Sus scrofa: one gene and its partner. The protein of the gene in region 1 interacts with the protein of each later gene in a pairwise test. Links are inferred from orthologs where the notes say so. Each region holds a gene or a part of one and is shown on either strand. Other genes may lie near its edges. The genes, in order: INSR and MAD2L1.

Region 1 (4,365 bases):
CCCTTCAACAAATATTTATTAAGCAATGGATATGTCAGGCACCGAGTGTAAAACAGGGAACAAGACAGACGGGATTTCTGCCTTCATGGGGAGGGGCCAACACACACAAAAATAAGGCAGCATTTCAAGAAGACACACTGGTGTGATGTAAGCAACAGCGATGAGAAAAAAAGGGAGGAGGTATGGGGGGGCAGCATTTGCAAAGCATGGTCAAGGAAGGTTCACGGGAAAAAAAAAAAAAGAGGAAGGTTCATGGGAGCTGAGAGGTGGAGCCAGACCTTGGAGGTTCAAGCAGGGGGACCAGCCAGGGTAAAGGCCTGGAGGCAGGAGTAGGTGTGGGTTAGAAGGACAGTGCAAACTTCTATTTGTTTAATAGAGAAAGAATGAACACGCTCAACCAAGAGTGATGCTGGTGGCTTTCTCGTGCTTCCCCCCGCCCCAGCAACTCCCCACATCTGCCACGCAGGTATTATTACAGGCATCTTCCTGGTGAGGCCAATCCAGAGAGCAGTTACTCATTGGAGACCACACTGGAAGTGAAGGCAGAGGGAGCCTGATTCCCACTCCATTAGGAACGTCCCCTCTCCCCTCTCCAGCAAGGTGCTTTGATCACTATCATACCGAATTCGTGAATGACTTTTGCCAGACATTCAAAACACACGTGGACTCTAGGTCTGTGTACTGAAAATTGGGTGTGTCTACCTGTGCTTTAGCCAAGATCTCCAGCGCCTGCTTTGTATTTTGTCGAGGTTCTGGACATCGCCTCAAGGGTCAGTTCTCCAACTTGAATCACAGGCCGAGCCGGAGAGTGCCTGCCCACTGAGTACTTTGAGCTCCTGGGGCGAGCTTGCACGTGGCTGTCCCCAGGGGCCTGGTGTGGGGCAGGGGCGAGCTCCCCGTAGGACAGCTGGGGCGCCCGCGCGCGCTCTGGGACCAGCTTCCCCGAGCAGGACGGGAACGAGGGCGAGGCGAGCGTAACATTTAAAGGAGTACCCAAAAACCGTGGAGCCAAGATAAATAATATTTTAATGCATTTTTTTTAAACATCAAAACGAATCCTCCAAAGTCTACGGTGAACAAAATAGCAAAACGTTACTCGCGGGATAGGGCATCTGCAGCGCCCCCAGGCTCTGAGACGAGAGTCGCGGGGCTGTACGGGGCGCTCCGGCTGGGCAGGGACCTGGGGCGCCCCCTCGGCTAGGGCGCGCCGGGGGCCTCCAGCGCGGGGCCCTCCTGCGCGGGGCCCAGGATAGGGAGGCTGGCTGGCGGGCGGGCGGGCGGGGTGGTGCCTCCGCCCCCCGGCCCGTCCTCCCTCCACCCCTCTCGGGCCTCTCCCCGGCGCCGAGTCCCTTCCGAGTCCGGATCCGCGCCGTCTTTTGCGGCGGCCCGCACGGGGCCCAGCTGACGGGCCGCGTTGTTTACGGGCCGAGCAGCCCTCGCTCCCGCCGCCCGCCCGCCACCCGCCAGCCCAGGTGCCCGCCCGCCTGTCCGCACGTCCGTTTGTCTGCGCGTCCGTTTGTTGGCGCGTCCGAAGACCTCAGCCCCCGAGCGCTCGGGGCCGAGAGCCGGGAGGCAGGGGCGCAGCGCGGGGCTCCGAGCCCTGAGATCGCGGGACGGGGCCCGGCCGCGGTGGCCCGGAGTCGGGGCCGCCTCCACCGGGCCGCGCCACCGGATTTGTAGCGGCAGAGGCCGCGCTCCCCTCCTGGGGCTGTTTCGAGGGCCCTCCCGGGGCTGTTTGAGGGCCCTCCCGGGCGGAGTCTGTGGCCAGTGGTCCGCCGGCGTAGAAGAGAAGGACGTGCGGCCCCAAGTGCCTCTCGGGCGGCCGCTTTGGAGCATGCACCCCGCGGGCCAGCGCCGCGCGCTCTGATCCTCCCGGACCCCGCGCTCCCACAGCTATGGGCGCTGGGGGCAGGCGGGGGGCGGCGGCCCTGCCGCTGCTGGTGGCCGTTGCCGCGCTGCTGGTGAGCGCCGCGGGCCACCTGTACCCTGGAGAGGGTGAGTCTGGGGGTCTGGGAGTGGGCGGGAAGCAGCGCGTTGGGGAGGGGACCCTTTGCCAAAATGGAACCCCCGCTGTGGCCTGAGAACCCTCCTCTGTGGGAGGGCTGGTAGCCGGGACAGTCGCTCCAGCTCCGCGGCGGGGAGGGGGGGCTCGGGAAGCCGCTGACCTTGGCCTTTGCCCGCCCGGGCTCGCAGCTCCACGCCCCGCGTGCGGGCACCGGGCTGGAGGAACCTTGCCCCAGTGCCTGCCTCTCCGCGGGCCCCTCTGCGGAGCGCTCCTCGAACCCGTGCCTGGACCTCCAGGAGCCCAACTGGCTCCGGAGACGGCCACGCGTCCTCTCTGGGTCGCCTCCCAGAAGTGGAGGGTCACTGGATAGCCTCAGGCAGCCAAATGCCCGGGACGCACACGGTTTGGAGCCAGAGTGGAGAGTGACCGACTTGGGGTGGGGGGGCCCCTTGGGGGTCCCAGCTGGTAGGTGATGCGACCCAGGGCCGGTAATTGTAGCATCTACCCCTTTCTTCCTGGTGTCTGTAGACTCAGGGCTACTCCTGACTTCAGGTCCGTGTTTCCACTTTTGGGTTCTGTTTCCAGATGTCGGGAGGCAAACTCTAGCGCCTTGGCAACAGCACAGTTGCAGTGGCAGAATGGTGTTGCTTTTATGATTCTTCTGGTTAGTGTCACCAGATGCCTCTGGCTGGTGGGTATTACCTCCCTGGACCCCTGAAGCGAGCCCCTCGAGGCTGATACTGTTGTTAGTCCATTTCACAGAGGAATAAACTGAGGCTCAGGGAGGATACTAACTCCCTGGCCCCAAAGTCAGTGCCAGAGGGAGGACTTGAACCTCTCCAGTGACTCTGGCCCAAGGCTCTGTACTGCTGCCTATGCCCCATGTCTCTGATAACCTCCTTCTTCCAGCTCTGCCCTTTTACCTGTCAACCCCCTGGGGGTCTCTAAGCTGTGGTCAGCCAAGCCCCAGGAGCTTGGCTCCTGGGTGTCCTTGGATGGGCAGCCTGCCAAGACAAACCCCAGCATCTTTCTTGAGCTTGAAGGCAGGTCTGCGGGTCAAGGACAGGAGAAACGTGTAAGAGAATATAGCTGAGGTTTCATACCACGTATGGCTGAGGTCCTGCTTTCAAGCTCTTTGTTGGGTTACTTCTTCAGATTTCTCCATAAAAGGAAATCAGTCGTGATGAGGAAGGGGTCAGGGAGGGAAAGAGCAGAAGCTCCTGAGTTCCCTGACCATGGGTGAGGTGATGAGAAAGTACACGCAGGGTTGTGAGTTGACAAACCGGGTTTGCTGAGCACCTTGGCCAATTAGGCAATGTCTCCAGGCACTCGAGTGCGTGGTATACAGTGGGTGTTCTGTGAAGGGAGGGTGGCAGTTGGTTTGAGTTCTTGTTAAAAATAAGAAACTCAAGACCCGTTGTTAGACCTATGTCAGGTTTTGTGTATGTGTGGTTCCCTGCTCCTCTGTTCCTTGTAGCTTTGGTAATTCATTGTGGATTTGTGCCTAGGCTTTCAAGGGTTACTACATAGATTTACCACTTCTTACATGTTTACATTTTCCACAAGGGTAGAGGCTTATGTTTCTTTTGCTCACTGCTACCTTTCCATAGCCTAGGAGGTGTTTGATAAATATCTGTTCTTCTTTTTTTTTTGGCCACACCCTCAGCATATGGAAGTTGCCACTGCCAGGAATTGAATCCTAGCCGCAGCTTCGGCAACCCCAGATCCTTTAACCCACTTCGCTGGGCTGGGGATTGAACCCACACCTCTGCAGCCTCCTAAGCTGCTGCAATGCGATTGTTAACCCACTGCGCCACAGCAGGAATTCCTGTTCTTTTTAATATTTCCTTTTTTAATTTTTTTTTTTTTTTTTTTTTTTTTTTTTTTTTTGCCACAGTATCCAGTGGCTTGATGTGGGATCTTAGCTCAGGGATTGAACCTGGACCGCAACAGTGAAAGTGCCGAGTCCTACCCACTAGACCACCAGGGAACTCCCTTATAAATATTTGTCCTTCACTCCTATCCTTCCTGGTCTTGCCAGTAATCCAAGTCATCGCTCCTTAATGCTCTAGATAACACCTAACTCACAAGAAGAGGAGTAAACACTCTGCGGGTGCTATTCTGAGCACTTTACGTATGTAATCTAAGTCGTTTCCTCACCGCTGTGCTGTGGGATAAGGTTCATTGTCTCTTTCAAAGGTGAGGAGATGTGATGAGGTGGCAGAGCTGAGATTCAAACTGCAGCTCATCTAGCTGCAGAGCACCTGTTTCTTAATTAAAGTGTCTTCTTTTGGATCTGACCCTTCGCACTCCAACCCGGTGGTCAAGGTTAACGGAATATGATGGAATAAATGACACGT
Region 2 (4,594 bases), on another chromosome or scaffold:
GAACACAAAGAAAGTATTAAGTACTTTCTCTATATTGGAAATCTCATACTTGGGCAGCTTCTAGAACCTCCAAAATTATACTAAAGATTATTTGCATCTTCAGATAACTTAAAAACTGTATTATTTTGAAACAAAAAGAAGTCTTTCATGAAGTGTTAAGTTGTAAATTCCTTAGAAAGAGAGGCAATTTCTACATGGAGTAAGGTGGGCATCAAGCTCTATCAGCCAGAAGCCAAAATCCTGGTGGAAGGAATGAAAAGACGGTGATTTAAACACACACACACTTGTACCACAGAAACTAAAGGATGTAAGGAAAATGTTATTGGATCAAATCAACTTATTACATATTATACCTGTTTCAGTCTTTAAACTGATCAAGTTTTGATATATAACACTGAATAGGCAGAGTTCTAAGGGCGTCCTCAAAATTTGTGGCCTCCAGGGAGCCTATCCTATAGAATCCCTCCACTTTAGTGTGGCCAGAGTAGTGATTATTAGGAGTTATCACTTTGAGGATTAAGTTCATCAAAGAGGAAATTATCTGACTGGGTCTGACCTAATCACTTGAGCCTTTAAAAGGGACCTCCCAGAAGTCAGAGACTGGAAGCCTGAGATTTATGGAAGGGCTACCTGGCAAAAGCACAAGACTGGCCTCTGCCAACAGCTGGCAAGCCAGTGAGGACATCAGTCCAAGAACAAGGATATTAAGTCTACCAAGAACCAAGGGCCTCAGAAGAGGACCCCTGATTTTAGGTAAGATCCCACTTGCAGACAAATACCCTTATTTCAAACTTGTGAAGACTACAGTAGAGAACTCACCTATGCCACGCCATGCTCCTGACTGAAGGACTGATAATAAATGGGTGTTGTTTTAAGCCACTCATTTGTGGTAATTTATTATGCAGCAATAGAAAACTAATACACTCAGGCATTTTTTCATACAATTAAATAACATTATGTAAGGTGGTTAAGTTTTTCAGATTTCATTTTACATTTTTTCTACCCACTTTAAGAATAAACTTGTTTCAAAACAACTGACATGCACATTAGTTGCGCGCTATCTCTTTAGTACTTCTCATCCTAACAATAAAATTCAAAATTCACGGAAAAGTTCTTCAGTGTTGAAAGGCCTTTTTGGTGAAGTGACCTTACTCCTGACCAGTCGCCGAAGGATGGCGGGGTGCAGAGTGCAAGCTGGACCATCAGAGACAGCCTCAGGCTGCCCCCAGACTGAGCCTAGCAGAGGGTCGGGGTGAGGAGTAGACGTGAGCTTTGCCCAGAACAGACAAGGGAAAGAAGAATGGACGCAGTTCATCCCTTTAATCCCTAAACCAATTTCTCAGGAAAAGCCGCGCGCCCACAAGTAATCAGGGTCTCTAATAAAACTGTGGTGCGCACGCAGTAGCTTTAGAAACTCCCAAAGCATCTGAGGAGTTCCGCCCGCCCACTAAGAATCACTGGGGCTACTTAAGGTACAGCTAGCAGACAGATCGGAGCATTTTCAAAATATCTTTCAAACTCAGGAGTTGTGCTCCTTACCCCTTCTGCCTGAAGACTCAAGGCGCGGCCACTAAAACCGCGATATACCGTCTTTGCCGCAAGCCCCCAGCTAGCCAACCAACTACCGCAGGAGTTCCACAAGGAACCCACCGCGACGCAACGACTCAACAGCGTGAGCACGTCCACCCACTGCGCAGGCGCGAAGAGCGGCTACGCGAGGAAGGAGAAAACAAGCCAGACCCCGTGGTGTAAGGGCGGGGCCTAAAGGCTCGTTGCGCCTGCGCGAAAGAGTCGACGGCGTCCTGCGTCGTTACTTTTGAAACCGGTGGCGGGGAACTACTCTGGAAGTCACTGGTGTGGCTGGTTGCCGCGTGAAAGCGCGTCTCTTCATCCGTGGGCCTGGCCATGGCGCTGCAGCTCTCCCGGGAGCAAGGCATTACCCTGCGCGGGAGCGCCGAAATCGTGGCGGAGTTCTTCTGTAAGTCCTTCTCGCGCAGGCCGGAGAGCGGGGAGAACTGTGCCCAGGCCGCCAAGTAGGCCCGCGGCTCGGTACGGTGGCGGGGAGAACCCATTGGGTCAGAGCGGACGCGAATCCGAGCCCTCTCAGTCTCAGCGTACTGCCAGGCAGGAGGGATCTGGAAGAGGCGGATGCAGGCGCCTCTTCCGGATGCGTTGCTAATGGTGGAGGAGGCGGCCTAGGTTCTGCTGAGGCCTGCCTGGCGATATAACCGCTTAGCCGGGAGCAAACCCCATACCCACCCCGAGGTGAATCAGGATTGACGGTAATGGGCTAGACTTGGGGAGGCGTTCTTCTGGACCAGGCCAGTTGCACCTTCTGATAGAACCTGGCAGGACTTGTGAGAAGAAAAGGAGGAAAAAAAGGAGAGGATTGCCTGGGCGTTGGACGACTCAGTTGCTTCTTTTGACATCCTCTAACCATAAAGTCTGAATTTAGAATTGTTTTACAATGAAATGAAATTTGGCACTGGTAGATAAATGCAGTTTGCCATGTTTCTTTTATTGCCACTTAAATGCAGATACCACTTTTTTGTTTAGAAGCAAAATTTTAAAGCTTTTTAATTTCACTTTGTACCTTTGAGCAAAACACAAACGCGTGTTTAAACATTTACAGCTTTACACCATTAATGAAACCATAGCCACATGACTAAATATGTTTTATTTCTCAGAATTACAAAATGAAAATGACTTTTAACATTTCTTTTGTTTTCAGCGTTTGGCATCAACAGCATTTTATATCAGCGTGGCATATATCCATCTGAAACCTTTACTCGAGTACAGAAATACGGACTTACCTTGCTTGTAACTACTGATCCTGAGCTCATAAAATACCTAAATAATGTGGTGGAACAACTAAAAGGTATTTCATTGTTGGAAACAGTTTTGAGTTTTGCCAGCATTCTAGGATCCATTTTCTAGCAGCTTGCTGGTCATTTTTCATCTGTATACCTGGTGGTGTAAAACACACTACCATCTCAAATATAGTGAAATAACTGGGAGGAAGAAAATAAATCAAAAAGAAGTCCCATCTTTACCCCATTTTGAGTGGGCTGAATATTTTCATGTTAGGAACGCGATACGGCTTAATGAAACAATTCCCATCAACTCCTTTAGAAATGAGTGTTGCAGTTTATGTGACCAAATGGAACATGTTGGAATTTTACATAATTATATTGGTGTTCATTATCTGAGAAAAATCCACTATATATATATTTGTAGCTGCATGGAGTCTAAAGCCATCATTAAGATGAAGGAAGCAAAACTGAATTCAACCTGGGGACTAAACTTTAAAAAGAACAACTACCAAATAACAGAGCACCATTAGAATTTTCTTACTTTTCACCTGTTTCCATTGTCTTGTCTTAAATCCTACATGTGAGTCTGAATACTTATTTTTTCCTTTTAGCTCAAGAAGTGTCAGTATTGTTTAATTAATACTTGTTCTCCATCTATTCCTCTTCTTTCTTCTAAAATTTCTAGTTTCTCTTTCATGTTTGTCTCCACCTAGGGTTCTCATTTCTAATTTTTCTGTGTTGTAGGATATTTTTCCATATCCACACATTGATCTTCCAAAGTTCTAAAAAACACTACAGCCCTCATCTTTATTTATTTTTTTTTTAAGTTTTTACTGAGGTATAGTTGATTTACAATGTTGTAATAATTTCTGCTGTACAACACAGTGATTCAGTTATACATGTATACACATGCATTCTTCTTCAGATTTCTTTCCCATGTAGCCCATCACAGACTGTTTGGTGGAGTTCCCTGTACTATACAGCAGGTCCCTATTGGGCAAGCATTCCATATACCTCAGTGTGCATATGCCAATCCCAAATCAATCCCCCACCCCATCCCTCTTCCCCCACTTCTCCCCTTTGGTTACCATAAGTTTTTCAAAGTCTCTGTTCTGCAAATAACTTCATTTGTATTTTTTTTTTTTTTTTAAGATTCCACATTAAGTGCTATCATGTTTGTCTTTCACTAACTTCACTTAGTATGATAATCTCTAGGTCCATCCATGTTGCTGCAAATGGCATTATTTCATTCTTTTTTATGGCTGAGTAATATTCCATTGTATATATGTACCACATCTTCTTTATCCATTCCTCTGTCAGTGGACATTTATGTTGCTTCCATGTTTTTAATTTTAAATGAATCTTTTTTGTTTCAAGCAGCTTGATTTTTTTAACTCAATGAATTTTATTACATTTATAGTTGTACAACAATCATCACAACCCAATTTTACAGCATTTCCATCCCAAACCCCCAGCCCATCCCCCAACCCCCAACGTGTCTTCTTGGAAACCGTAAGTTTTTGAAAGTCTGAGTCAGTATCTCTTCCGCAAAGAAGTTCACTGTATCCTTTTTTTAGATTCCCCATATAAGTGATAGCATATGACATTGGTGTCTCACTGTCTTACAAACTTCACCTAGTATGATAGTTTCTAGGTCCATCCATGTTGCTGCAAATGCCATTATTTTTTTTTATGGCTGAGGAATATTCCAGTATATGTATGTACCATGTCTTCTTTATCCATTCCTCTGCCGGTAGACATTTAGGTGCTTCCATGTTGTT

What was found.
Region 2: the proteins of INSR (region 1) and MAD2L1 interact in binary tests that used the Homo sapiens proteins (3 or more experiments, as listed by UniProt). The link is inferred for Sus scrofa from reciprocal best matches to the Homo sapiens genes INSR and MAD2L1.

Annotation. Positions count from the first base shown.
Region 1 is NC_010444.4:71,795,784-71,800,148, forward strand, and holds the start of INSR (insulin receptor), read left to right. Parts: upstream 1-1,425; 5' UTR 1,426-1,895; coding exon 1,896-1,995; intron 1,996-4,365. UniProt on the Homo sapiens protein: Receptor tyrosine kinase which mediates the pleiotropic actions of insulin.
Region 2 is NC_010450.4:103,925,665-103,930,258, forward strand, and holds the start of MAD2L1 (mitotic spindle assembly checkpoint protein MAD2A), read left to right. Parts: upstream 1-1,693; 5' UTR 1,694-1,905; coding exon 1,906-1,978; intron 1,979-2,731; coding exon 2,732-2,878; intron 2,879-4,594. UniProt on the Homo sapiens protein: Component of the spindle-assembly checkpoint that prevents the onset of anaphase until all chromosomes are properly aligned at the metaphase plate.